Caenorhabditis elegans: one gene and its partner. The protein of the gene in region 2 purifies or fractionates together with the protein of the main gene of each other region. This does not show direct contact. Each region holds a gene or a part of one and is shown on either strand. Other genes may lie near its edges.

What was found.
Region 1: the proteins of parp-2 (region 2) and twk-36 fractionate together in Caenorhabditis elegans (co-fractionation; one large-scale study listed by BioGRID). This does not show direct contact.

What each region holds. Positions count from the first base shown.
Region 1 is NC_003283.11:17,743,106-17,749,310, forward strand, and holds twk-36 (Potassium channel domain-containing protein), read right to left. Parts: upstream 3,955-6,205; 5' UTR 3,950-3,954; coding exon 3,843-3,949; intron 3,648-3,842; coding exon 3,304-3,647; intron 2,804-3,303; coding exon 2,538-2,803; intron 2,496-2,537; coding exon 2,354-2,495; intron 2,302-2,353; coding exon 2,068-2,301; intron 1,782-2,067; coding exon 1,627-1,781; intron 1,582-1,626; coding exon 1,321-1,581; intron 726-1,320; coding exon 546-725; downstream 1-545. Other genes in the region: R12G8.1 (Phorbol-ester/DAG-type domain-containing protein), read right to left, coding at 4,976-5,295, 5,944-6,118.
Region 2 is NC_003280.10:9,591,467-9,595,886, reverse strand, and holds parp-2 (Poly [ADP-ribose] polymerase 2), read right to left. Parts: upstream 2,851-4,420; 5' UTR 2,841-2,850; coding exon 2,285-2,840; intron 2,241-2,284; coding exon 2,163-2,240; intron 2,072-2,162; coding exon 1,374-2,071; intron 1,325-1,373; coding exon 1,200-1,324; intron 1,153-1,199; coding exon 993-1,152; 3' UTR 759-992; downstream 1-758. Other genes in the region: E02H1.5 (uncharacterized protein), read right to left, coding at 1-131, 185-283, 334-558, 603-660; putative tRNA pseudouridine synthase tag-124, read right to left, coding at 3,033-3,553, 3,603-3,753, 3,803-4,040, 4,085-4,209, 4,257-4,384. UniProt on the Caenorhabditis elegans protein: Poly[ADP-ribose] polymerase modifies various nuclear proteins by poly(ADP-ribosyl)ation, a post-translational modification synthesized after DNA damage that appears as an obligatory step in a detection/signaling pathway leading to the reparation of DNA strand breaks and programmed cell death.

The DNA of each region.
Region 1 (6,205 bases), on a different chromosome or scaffold from region 2:
TGATATTTTGAAACATAAAAAAGCATATTCTAATCTTCAAAGCCGAAAAGTTTCTGATAAGGAAATCCGCAAAAAAAGAAAAGATCAGAACAAATTCACATAATAAATAAAAAACCAGAATCAACGAACATCTGGAAAAGTGATACGGATGCCCATGACTGATGAATGATGATGAGGGGAAGGAGAAAATGATGTGAAACAAGGCAATGTAGAGAAGGCAATTAACACTAAGTTTCACTATAATTATGCTTCTCTTCTTCAGGCGCCGCCTTTTTGGTTTCCGCTACGGTTTCATCCCCCTATGCAATAATTTCACTTTTTTCGTCGGCTAAATTACGTGGCCGATGGTCTGTAATTGTCCAGAAATGCAACATATTTGTATATTTGTACTTGAGGACACTAAAGAGAAAGTTAATTTCCACAAGTGGACATATTATTTTTGTTCCCAGTTCGCTTTTTTCATTTCATTTTCATTTTTCCCTGGAATGACGCCAGAACAATCTTGGATCTTTGATGGTCGAAAAAGAAAAGGTTTGAAAAATTTATTATGGTAAGGGTCTGACCCAAGGTACAGTATGTAAAGCATTAGAGCTCATAAGGTCTCCTCTTCTTAGTTGAACTCTTCCGAATCCTCCACCATAGACGTCATGGTTGGAACGCATGAATGTGGCAATTGATCGGACGGTGAAGGTGTTCATCATCTCGTTTCGGCGGCGGTTGATTACCTGAAAGTATGAGGCTTAGGCATATGCTTAGGCTTAGGTTCAGGCTTAGGCTTAGTCTGAAGCTTAGGCTCATGCTCAGGCTTAGGCTTAGGCTCAGGCTTAGAACTAGGCTTTGGCTTTGGCTTTGGCTTAGGCTTAGGCTTCGGCTTAGGGTTAGGTCTAGGCTTAGGCTTTGGTTAATCTTAGGCTTAGGCTTAGGCTTAGGCTCAGGCTTAATCTTACTCTTAGGCTTAGGCTCAGGCTTGGCGTCAGTGGCGAGCGTTGGCTCGCTACTGACGCTATTTAGGCTTTGGATTTTCCGGTTTTTTTATTATTTTTGAGGGGGTTCCTGTTGGCCGATTATCCTTAGGTACTAGAAACTCGAGAAATTAAGCTTAGGCTCAGGCTTATGCTTAGGCTTTGGCTTAAGCTTAGGCTTAGACTCTGGCCTAAACTTAAGCTGAGGCTTATTCTCAAGCTCATGTTCAGACTTTAAATAACGCTTCCAACGTTATCAGTTTTACCCACTTTTTCTCACTTGATTCTTTTACTTTTCAGAGTGACTATAGTTCCAAATTATGCAATAATATGTTCTCTGATCTTCTGCTTGACTTACCCCATCATCCGATCCACTATCCGAGTCCCCATCAAATCCACGTGGCTCTTTTGAATCCACGGACTCTGCTGAAGACCCTGATGATGTTGATCTGACAGTTTTTACACCAGGTTTCCGTTCCGTCAAGAGCATGCTAATCTTGGTTTCCGCCAAGGTCATCAGGCCAAAAACCCCATTTTCCACTGCAATAAATGTTGCTCGATTCACAACTTTTGTGACTGCCATGCCGATGAAAAATATCATCGAGACCGGCGGGGCGTACTGAAATTTTGAAATTAAGCAACACAAAAGGTACAAAAAGCTTACCGGAACATTATTTGGCATCACATCGCCTAGACCAATAGTTGTGAGAGAGATGAAAGAGAAGTAGAATGCGGTGAAGTACGGTAGGCCGTCGTCCCATTCCGGGCCCATAACGGCGTCGTAGAGGTACACGAACGTGGTGCAGAGGAGGAGGTAGGCTGGAAAGTTGGAACCGAGGATGGGTAAGGTTGGAGACCGCGGGCTAAATGATGGCCTGAACCATGTAAGACTCGTCTTCAAGGACAGTTAGAGAGCCTAGGTAGCCTAGGCTTGCCTGGCTGACTCTAGGAAGTTTCGACGAGGTTAGAATGTCTAACAAACTATGGATAGCCTAGTCAAGCTCAGGTATCTTAAACAAAGTCGGGTACATGCTAGCTCTGAGCATTTTGACGCTACAGGAGCTACTTCTAAGATCTTCGAAGCTTCAGAGGTCTTTCCGCTAACCTATCAGAATAGTCATACAAAACTTGATGGGCAGCTGTATAATCTCATCCTCATCGACTTCTCGCTTTCCACGAATCCTCCTCACCGCTGTCAACCCGTGCGCGTACAATTTTGTGAAATTCACCAAGAACATCTGGCCTAGATCCCTTAAGATCACCAGTGTCACCGGTACAAAACAAAATGCGTAGATCATTGTGAAAAGCTGACCGCTGAAGGTTTGAGCTGAGATTGAACCTGGAACCTTGGAATTAATTGGGCTGAAGTTACAGAAAATTGGATCAGGTACCATAACCGGTAGTTGTGTAAACATTCATACTGAAGAAAAATGCGCTTGAAAATGTCCATTTGAGATTGTCAGGGTGCTCTAGACGATAGTATGTGCTCCATTTGTATTGCTCCTCGTGTTTTTGCAGGGAAATGTAGGATTCCTGAAATGACAATCCCGGCAAGCTTTCTCAAAACCACCATACTTTTATAAACTCCTTCATCCTCTGATGCTCAGAACTTTGCTCCGGGTCATTGACGGCTTCTGAGAGCACAGTTGCTAGCTCATCCAACAACTTATCTAGGTTTTGCTCCCGAACATGCAGTCTCGATTTCTCATTCGAACCCTCTATCAGATAAAACACCGTCGCCCCTAAAAGTGTGTAGATCAACGCCAAAACCAGCAAAGCTATGTAGCGGAGCCCGAACTTTTTTCGGTGCATTGCGAACCAGTAGAAGGATTTGTCGAATTCTGGAAAAAAATTTTAGTCGGTGAGGGCGAAATCTAGTTTTTAAAAAAATTGAAAATTCTTTAAATTTTTCTGGGAACATTTGAAATTCTCGTCAAAATTTTAAAGAAAATTTGAATTTCCCGCCAAAACTTTTCAGGAAAACTTGAAATTATTTTTTAAAAATTCTGAAAAGTCTTGCCGTTCCTGCTGAATTATTTGAGAAAATGTGAATGTAAAATACATTTTTTGAAAAAAAAAATCTCTGAGAAATTTTGAATTTCTCGCCGAAGTTTTCTTATTAAAAATTCGATGTTCCGCCAAATTTTTTCGAAAAAATGTGAATTTTCCGCCCAATCATCTAGTGAAGTTTAAAATTTAAAAGAATCATCTTTATAAAACTTGAACTTCTTGCTCAAAAATTTAAATTTTCCGCCAACATTTTCTGCTAAACTTTTAATTTGTCGTATAAACATCTTGATAGCTTTTAGGAAATTGTAGTTTTTTTTTGAAACTGACTTACGCCTTTCCTGAGGTAACATTGGCATTTCCATTGGCTCACTGGCTCGCGGAGCACTTTTCTGACTAATTGAAGCTTTATCCACTTGAAATCTGTTCGCCGAAATGTTCCTGGGAAGTTTTTGGTAAGTTTCCTGATTTCCTGTTACAGTATAATGATTTTTCTGATAATATTGAGAGATTGGATTCTGGTTTTCAGATTTTTCAGATTTTCCAGCATCCATCTCATAAGTGACCCGATGCCTAGCCACTTCATCCACGGAGGTGCTCCGTTGAGCCGGTAAGTGGTTGGAGCTGGTGTTTCGGGATCCTGGGAGGGTTAGGACACTGGCATTGCTTTGGTTGCGGCTGGAAATCGGAAATTAAACAATTTTGGAATTTTTCGAATTAAAAAAAAAAAATTTTTTGAAATTTTTTTTTTTTGGAATTTTTTTTTGAAAATATTTTTGAAATTATTCAAGTTTTTGAAAATTTATACACTTTTCCCTGGTTTTTCTTATTTTCCCAAAAATTAATTAAATGTTTTCATTAAAACCAACAAACCTCAAACCGGGCCCTTCGAGCACATGCTGCACGGTATCTTTCCGCTCCACCGTATACTTCTGACTCAAAATACTCTTTAACCCGTCTTTTTCAGAAGTTACGGTCATTTTTTACATGGAATTGACAAAAAAGTATGAAATGAACACATAGAACAGACGTCAACGGACGACGATTTAAAATGCAAATTTGGTGGGGGTTTTCAGACTAAAACTACACTGAAAACGAATATTTTAACTTTTATATGGTATGTATGACATAATTGAGTGTGAAAAGTTTATTTTTACACTGAAAAAACTTTAAAATAACGAAAGAAAACGTTTTAATCGAATTTTCGAGAAAATTTCCGAATGGAGCAGTGGGATTCTGAATTTATTCCAATCAAACGTCCGGGGTTCGAGTCCGCACAGGGGTATTTATTTTTTGCAAGCTGTGATTTACAAGTTTATAGCTGCAAAAGTGATTTTTATCGAATTTTTAGGAAAATGTCCGAATGGCACAGTGGGATTTTCCATGTCTATCAATCAGAGGTCCGGGGTTCGAGTCCACACAGGGGTATTTATTTTTTGCAAGCTTTAGAAATTGAGGTTCGAGTTGGGAAATTCATTTTTAGCGAATTTTCAGGAAAATGTCCTAATGACGCAGTGGGATTTTTAGTGTCTTTCAATCAGATGTCAGTGGTTCGAGTCCGCACAGGGGTATTTATTTTTTGCAAGCTGTGATTAACAAGTTTATAGCTGCAAAAGTCATTTTAATCGAACTTTCGGGAAAGTGTCCGATTGGCGCAGTGGGATTTTCAACGTCTTCCAATCAAACGGCTGGGGTTCGAGTCCGCACAAGGGTATTTATTTTTTGCAAGCTGTGATTAACAAATTTCAAGCTGCAAAAGTCATTTTAATCGAACTTTCGGGAAAGTGTCCGATTGGCGCAGTGGGATTTTTAATGTCTTCCAATCAGAGGTCCGTGGTTCAAACCCGCACAGTGACAAATATTTTTGTTATGATGTTTATGAGCCTCAATTGTAACTATAATAACTTTATTCCGGAAAACAATATGAGTTTATGACTGATTATCAAATTTAACTTTCTCCAATTTTCTTCATTTTTCTTTATTTTTTTTCTCAATTTTTTCAATATTTATTGACACTGAATTCCACAATTCCTCAAAACCTTTTCCTGGCATCGAAAATGAACATTTGCATGACAATCCGTGCACTGAACGCCTTGCTTCGTGAGCCCATAGAGCATACTTCCACAGTGATCACAAAATGTCGGGCGAGTGAAGAAATGCTTGTTAAAGTGATGAGTATTTGATGGAGGTTCTTCCGAAGCAGATCGGCTACGACGAGTTTTCAGATTTGTAGTTTCAGCAGGAACCGGAGCTCGGGAAGATGGTCCGAAGGTGCAGCGGGCGGTGATGAGGGCATGGCACCGCTTATGAACGACTGTCTCACAGCCTGGAAAATGAAATATGAACTAATATTCACTAGAAATCAGGTTCCGTGCTTAAAATCTAGCTTTTGCCTAATTTTTGAGAAAATGCACCAATGGCTCAGTGGGATTTTCCAGAACTATCGCGCACAAGTCCGGGGTTCAAGCCCGCCATGTGGTCAAATATTTTTGTACGCAGTGTTTAGACATATAAAGACCAGCTTGTAAATGAACAAACGATTTTACAGGTTTTAAGGAAAAAGTGCCCGAATGGCGCAGTGGGATTTTCGAGAACAACAAATCTTACGACCAGGGTTCGAGTCCGACCTGTGGTCAAATATTTTTTTTTTCGAATTTCTAAAATATTTTTGGGTATTTCAGACACGTGGAATTCAAATTTCTATATGTCCGAGCGTAAAAGTTTTAAGAAATCGTTGAAAATAGACTTTCAAAACTCGTGAAAGTTGTAAAATTGTTTAAAATCCAAAACTGTTACATCGAAATTAGAAATTATATATTGAAATTAGTGTTTCTCTTATTATGATCATTTTTACAAGTTTTCAAAAAAAATGCCCGAATGGCGCAGTGGGTTTTTCCAAAAACTACCAAGCACACCACCGGGGTTCGAGCCCATGAGGTGGCAAAATTTTTTTTGTACCCTTCAACTAACTCACCTAGACACTTGTAACCCTGTTTTCCAACACCATATATGAATTTGGAGCAAAATGAGCAAAACGTCGGCTGAGCAAGTCCGACGGCTTTGAACTTGTGGCCCGAAATTTCATGGATCTTAGTACCATCCGATTGACGGGTTACGGTAGGAATTTGCAGTTCCGGTGCCGGGGACATACTTGGATTATCAGAATTCTGAGATATTGTAAGCTTCAAGCTTTTATACCTATCCCCCGCACAGGCTCCGCCCACTTGTCATATTTG
Region 2 (4,420 bases):
ATCATCTCCCAAATTTTCAGCAATATACAAACAAGCAGCTTTCATTAGAACTTTTGGATCGGGGTGATGAGCAGAAATGCCGAGAATTGAGCACAGAGCACGTGCATTTTCAGCAAAATTTGGTGAAGAATCTAAGAATGAGAATAATTAAATTTTATTTTTTAAAAAGGAATTTATGACTCACAATCAAGTCGGTTAAGTGGATTTTGGGAATCTCGATGTGCTTCGAGCACTTTTTCAGCTTGTTCTCTGAGCCGACTCGAGCAGAGTTCAGTGTCACCGCCTGGAAATACAGATATCGTGTATTTAAACGTATCACCTAATTTTGCAAACCTTTCTGTTCATAAATCTTTTGAACAGCAGCGTTCAAGACATAGTCAATCGCCGCCGCTCTGGAGCATCCAGACGGTGCACCAAACTCGGTAAAATATTTTTCAAGCTCCACAGTCCATTTAGCTACATCCTGCTCGTCAAGCATCTGAGCAGACCAATTTTGATCACGACACTTCAGATGGGCTTCTTCGACAGTGACGATTAGACGGCGAATCTCATTATCGTCTGGAATTTGGTTAATTATTGTAGAACAATTTCTGAAATACTACCATCGAAATTAATATAGTCACGATCGTATTCCACTGCTCTCAATTTTCTTCTGGACATTTTCTGAAAATCGTTTTGATTAAGCTTGTGAAAATCAGCTTCAAAAAATATAAAAAGGATTAGCAACACCTTCAGAATTTTAGAGAAAAATTTAAATTGCTTCAAAAATACATTTGTTTTTTGATATGAGCAGAAAATGAATGAAGTGAAACCGAAAAAGATGAGATTTTGAGCAAAAACAAATTCCAGGAATGTGATTTTAAAAAAATGAGGAGTATCATTGGATTAACAGGTTTAAAAAAAGTTACAAAAGCTTGACAAATTCAGATCAGAAAATTAAATGGAGAGGTAGAAACAGATAAAATGTGAGAGATTACATGAGAAATTAGCATTTAAGCCATCATTTCCTTAGCGGTAAGACGATCCACTTTCACTTCGACAACATATTTTATTTTGAAGTGTTCCTTGTTGAACATCACATATTCATCGTAGAGAAGACGAGTTTCTTCTTCGATTGTCTCAAGATTTGACTTGAATGCCGGGATTCCATTGCTGAAAATTTCATGGATAAGAATTTTTTGAAAAAAATCAGAATTTACATTTCAACAGTGTCTCTTGGAGTGTGCTTTCCAGCTGCATAAACCGACGTCTTTTTCGCTTTTTCCATTTTCTCATCCGCGTCAATTTCTGACTCGTAGAGAACTAATGGGTTCGCAGTTTCAACCTGAAATAGAAAAAATTGAAAATTGTGAAATTTTCAGTGGATTTCTCACCTCGCAAAGAAGCATGAAAACTCTCTTTGAAGCCTCTGGGCAACAGTAATTCGCGGATTTAGTTGGAACATTTGCGAAATAAACTCCATTTCCGAACATCAGACCACAGCGATCTCCAACTGGGAACTGAAGTCCATTCATGAGGATTGAGAAGACATTTGTCACACGAGTACCGTGCCAAAGAAGGCGTTTTGTAGTTGGTGGTGGAACAGTTGGAGCAGCGGTCTTTGTGCTCTTTCGTCCTCTCTTCTTCGGAACTTCCTGAACTTCAACTGGAGCTTCAGTTGGAATTTCATTTGGATCCTTTAACTCGAATGCATCAATGAGTGAAAGCTTGTAACAATGAGTGGGTCCACGCATAGCCAAGCAGTCTCCAATTTTTCCTGCAATTTCTTCCGAAACTGGCTCCAAATGGCACGGGAGGCGCTCATAAAGTCTTTGATAAATATCCTTCGACGATGCTGTCTTTTTCAAATCCTTCAGTTCCAGTGATGCTTCAATTGATCCTTTCAGTGCATCCAGAAGCTCTCGTTCAGCTTGAATTTTAGCATGAGAATCAATTTTTGGAGGAACACAGAAACCAAATGAATGAGGGATGAGAGAATAATATTTGTTGATGTCGTGAAGAGATGGACCATCGGATTTAACAGCAAGAACACGGTCAGCTACTCGTGGCCGGCCACGAGTAGATCTTCGAGCTAAAAGAATTTCCATTTTTCAGGGAAGATAATGGCCTAAATTTAGATTTTTCAACTTAAAACTTCAAATTTACAAAATTTCATAAAATACCTGATTTTCCTCCAATCGATTCCTCAATCTTACTCAAAATTTCATATCCAGTGGTGAGTTGGGCAAGTGAGAGGCAATCTGAATTTTTCTCTAATTTTTTAATACGATTTTTTAAAACTCACCAATTGGTCTTCCAAAAGCTTCGTTAAATTTCAGTTGTTTCAAGAGTCCCAGATGAACATCTTCGTCGCAGATGCATTTCATCAATTCCTTCAGCTTTTCATTAACTTCTTCAACTGGTTCCTCTTCTTTCTTGATTTCTTTCTTTTCTTTAACAATTCCTCTTTTCTTCCTTCCACGTGTATTTTTCTCATCAACTTTCGGCTCAGGTTCCGGTTCCTCCTTTTTAACTTCTTTTTCAGTCTGTCTTGCGTTAGTAGCCAACTCAACGACTGCATATTTATTGGGAACCGGTTCATCGTCTCTTTCTTCCCAATGAAGATGAGTTTTCTCGTAGAATTTGCTTTCGAAGAACTTCTTGGCTCTGTCGAGGTCATCGAAATCTTTTAATTGTGTGACACCACGATATCCAATACGTCCATTGATAAGCTTCACAATGAAATCACCTCCCTCATCCAACAATTCCATATCGTAAAATTTATTGTTGTTCTGTGCAATATTCGTCTTGCAAAGATGTACTTTATAGCCTCTTCCATTTTCGTCGTTGATTATAGACATTTCTGTCTAGCTGGAAATGGAAATTCGATTATAAAGACAACTTCTTACAATTTTCAGAAATAAATTTGGATTTCAGAAACCAATAAATCAAACAAAAAGGAAAAAATTGATCAAAAAACAGAAACATATATTTTTAAAAACAAAAAAATCAACAACAAAACCGTATTAATAACTTAAAAAACAATTAAACTCTCATAGTTTATCCGAAGATTCTTCTCCATTTTTCTTCTTTTCTGCCATTTTCTCTTTCTTGCTCTCCAGGCTTTCACACATTTTCCTATTCTCAAACCTTATGTAATTTGAAGGTATCGGACGATCTTGTACAAATTCGTGAAGTCCTTTATTGGCATCTCCTGAACTGAATTCAGCCATTCCAGTCAGTTCTCCGAGCATATTTTCCATCATTCGACTTCTCGCCTGATACGTCGCCCAGGTTTTTTGTAGTCCGGTCACTGTACTTTTCAGTGTATAGTCATGAACTTTCCATTCAACATCTTCAGATTTATATCCACAATCGAATAAGCATAGAGGAGTGTCCGAGGCTAAGGTGTACTGCGGCCGGCTCGGATATTTTTTCAGGTCAAGAAGCTGTGAGATTAATGATGGTTGTTCATTTTCTCTTCCAATTTCTTGAAGGATCGTGACTATGTATCGAATCATATGCCAAAGGAAACCACTTCCAGATACAGTGAGCTCCACCATTGAATACATATCTAAAGTTTTACTTGTCAAAACTAAACTCTCTGAATAAATAAACAATACCATTTTCTGGATGAGTCGATACTTGTTCTACCTTGACTTCATAGACTTTTCTAACATAAGACTGCAGCAGTCTTTTCTCGTTCATATCGATTTGGCAGAAATTCGAAAAATCGTGCTCACCGACCAATAGCTCCGCGCCCTGACGCATTTTCTAAATAAATAATAATTTGAAGATAAAAATATAATGAAAATACACCAACCTCTAAGTTAAGGTCAGCTTTAGCAAAAGAATATTTATATGTTCTTCTATTACAATCGAATCTGGCATTGAACGTTTGCGCGACAGGAGCCCAGGCGAAGACTCTGATGGTTTTCGGAAGAACTCCATTGAGCATTTTTACATAGGGAAGCTCTTCTCCACTAGCTTTATAGTCCACTTTTTGATGCTCTTGCGTAGAATCTGACCAAAACACTCCTGAGTCACCGGGACACAGAGATCTGAAAATTGAAATGAGAACGAGTTCAGTAAAAAAATTTTAAACCTAACAACCATTGCAGCAGTTTGTTTAAATGCGGAAACTCCTTTATCGGTCCGTCCACAACGCGAAAAATCACATTTCGTCCAGTCCTCAATTAAATGAGTTTTTATTAGTGCCTGCATGATATGCTGAAACATTTTTAATTTATTTAAATAAAGTATTTTAGAATTCTTACATTTTCCACCGTATTTTGTGTATGCGGTTGTTGAACAAGCCCATCATGCTCCCAGCCCAAATAGAAAAACTGAATTGCAATCTTCCGTCGAGGATGAGCGAGAAAATCCAGGGTTTTTGCTTTTTTTGCTGAAAAGTATTATTTTCAGATTTAATATTCAGCCC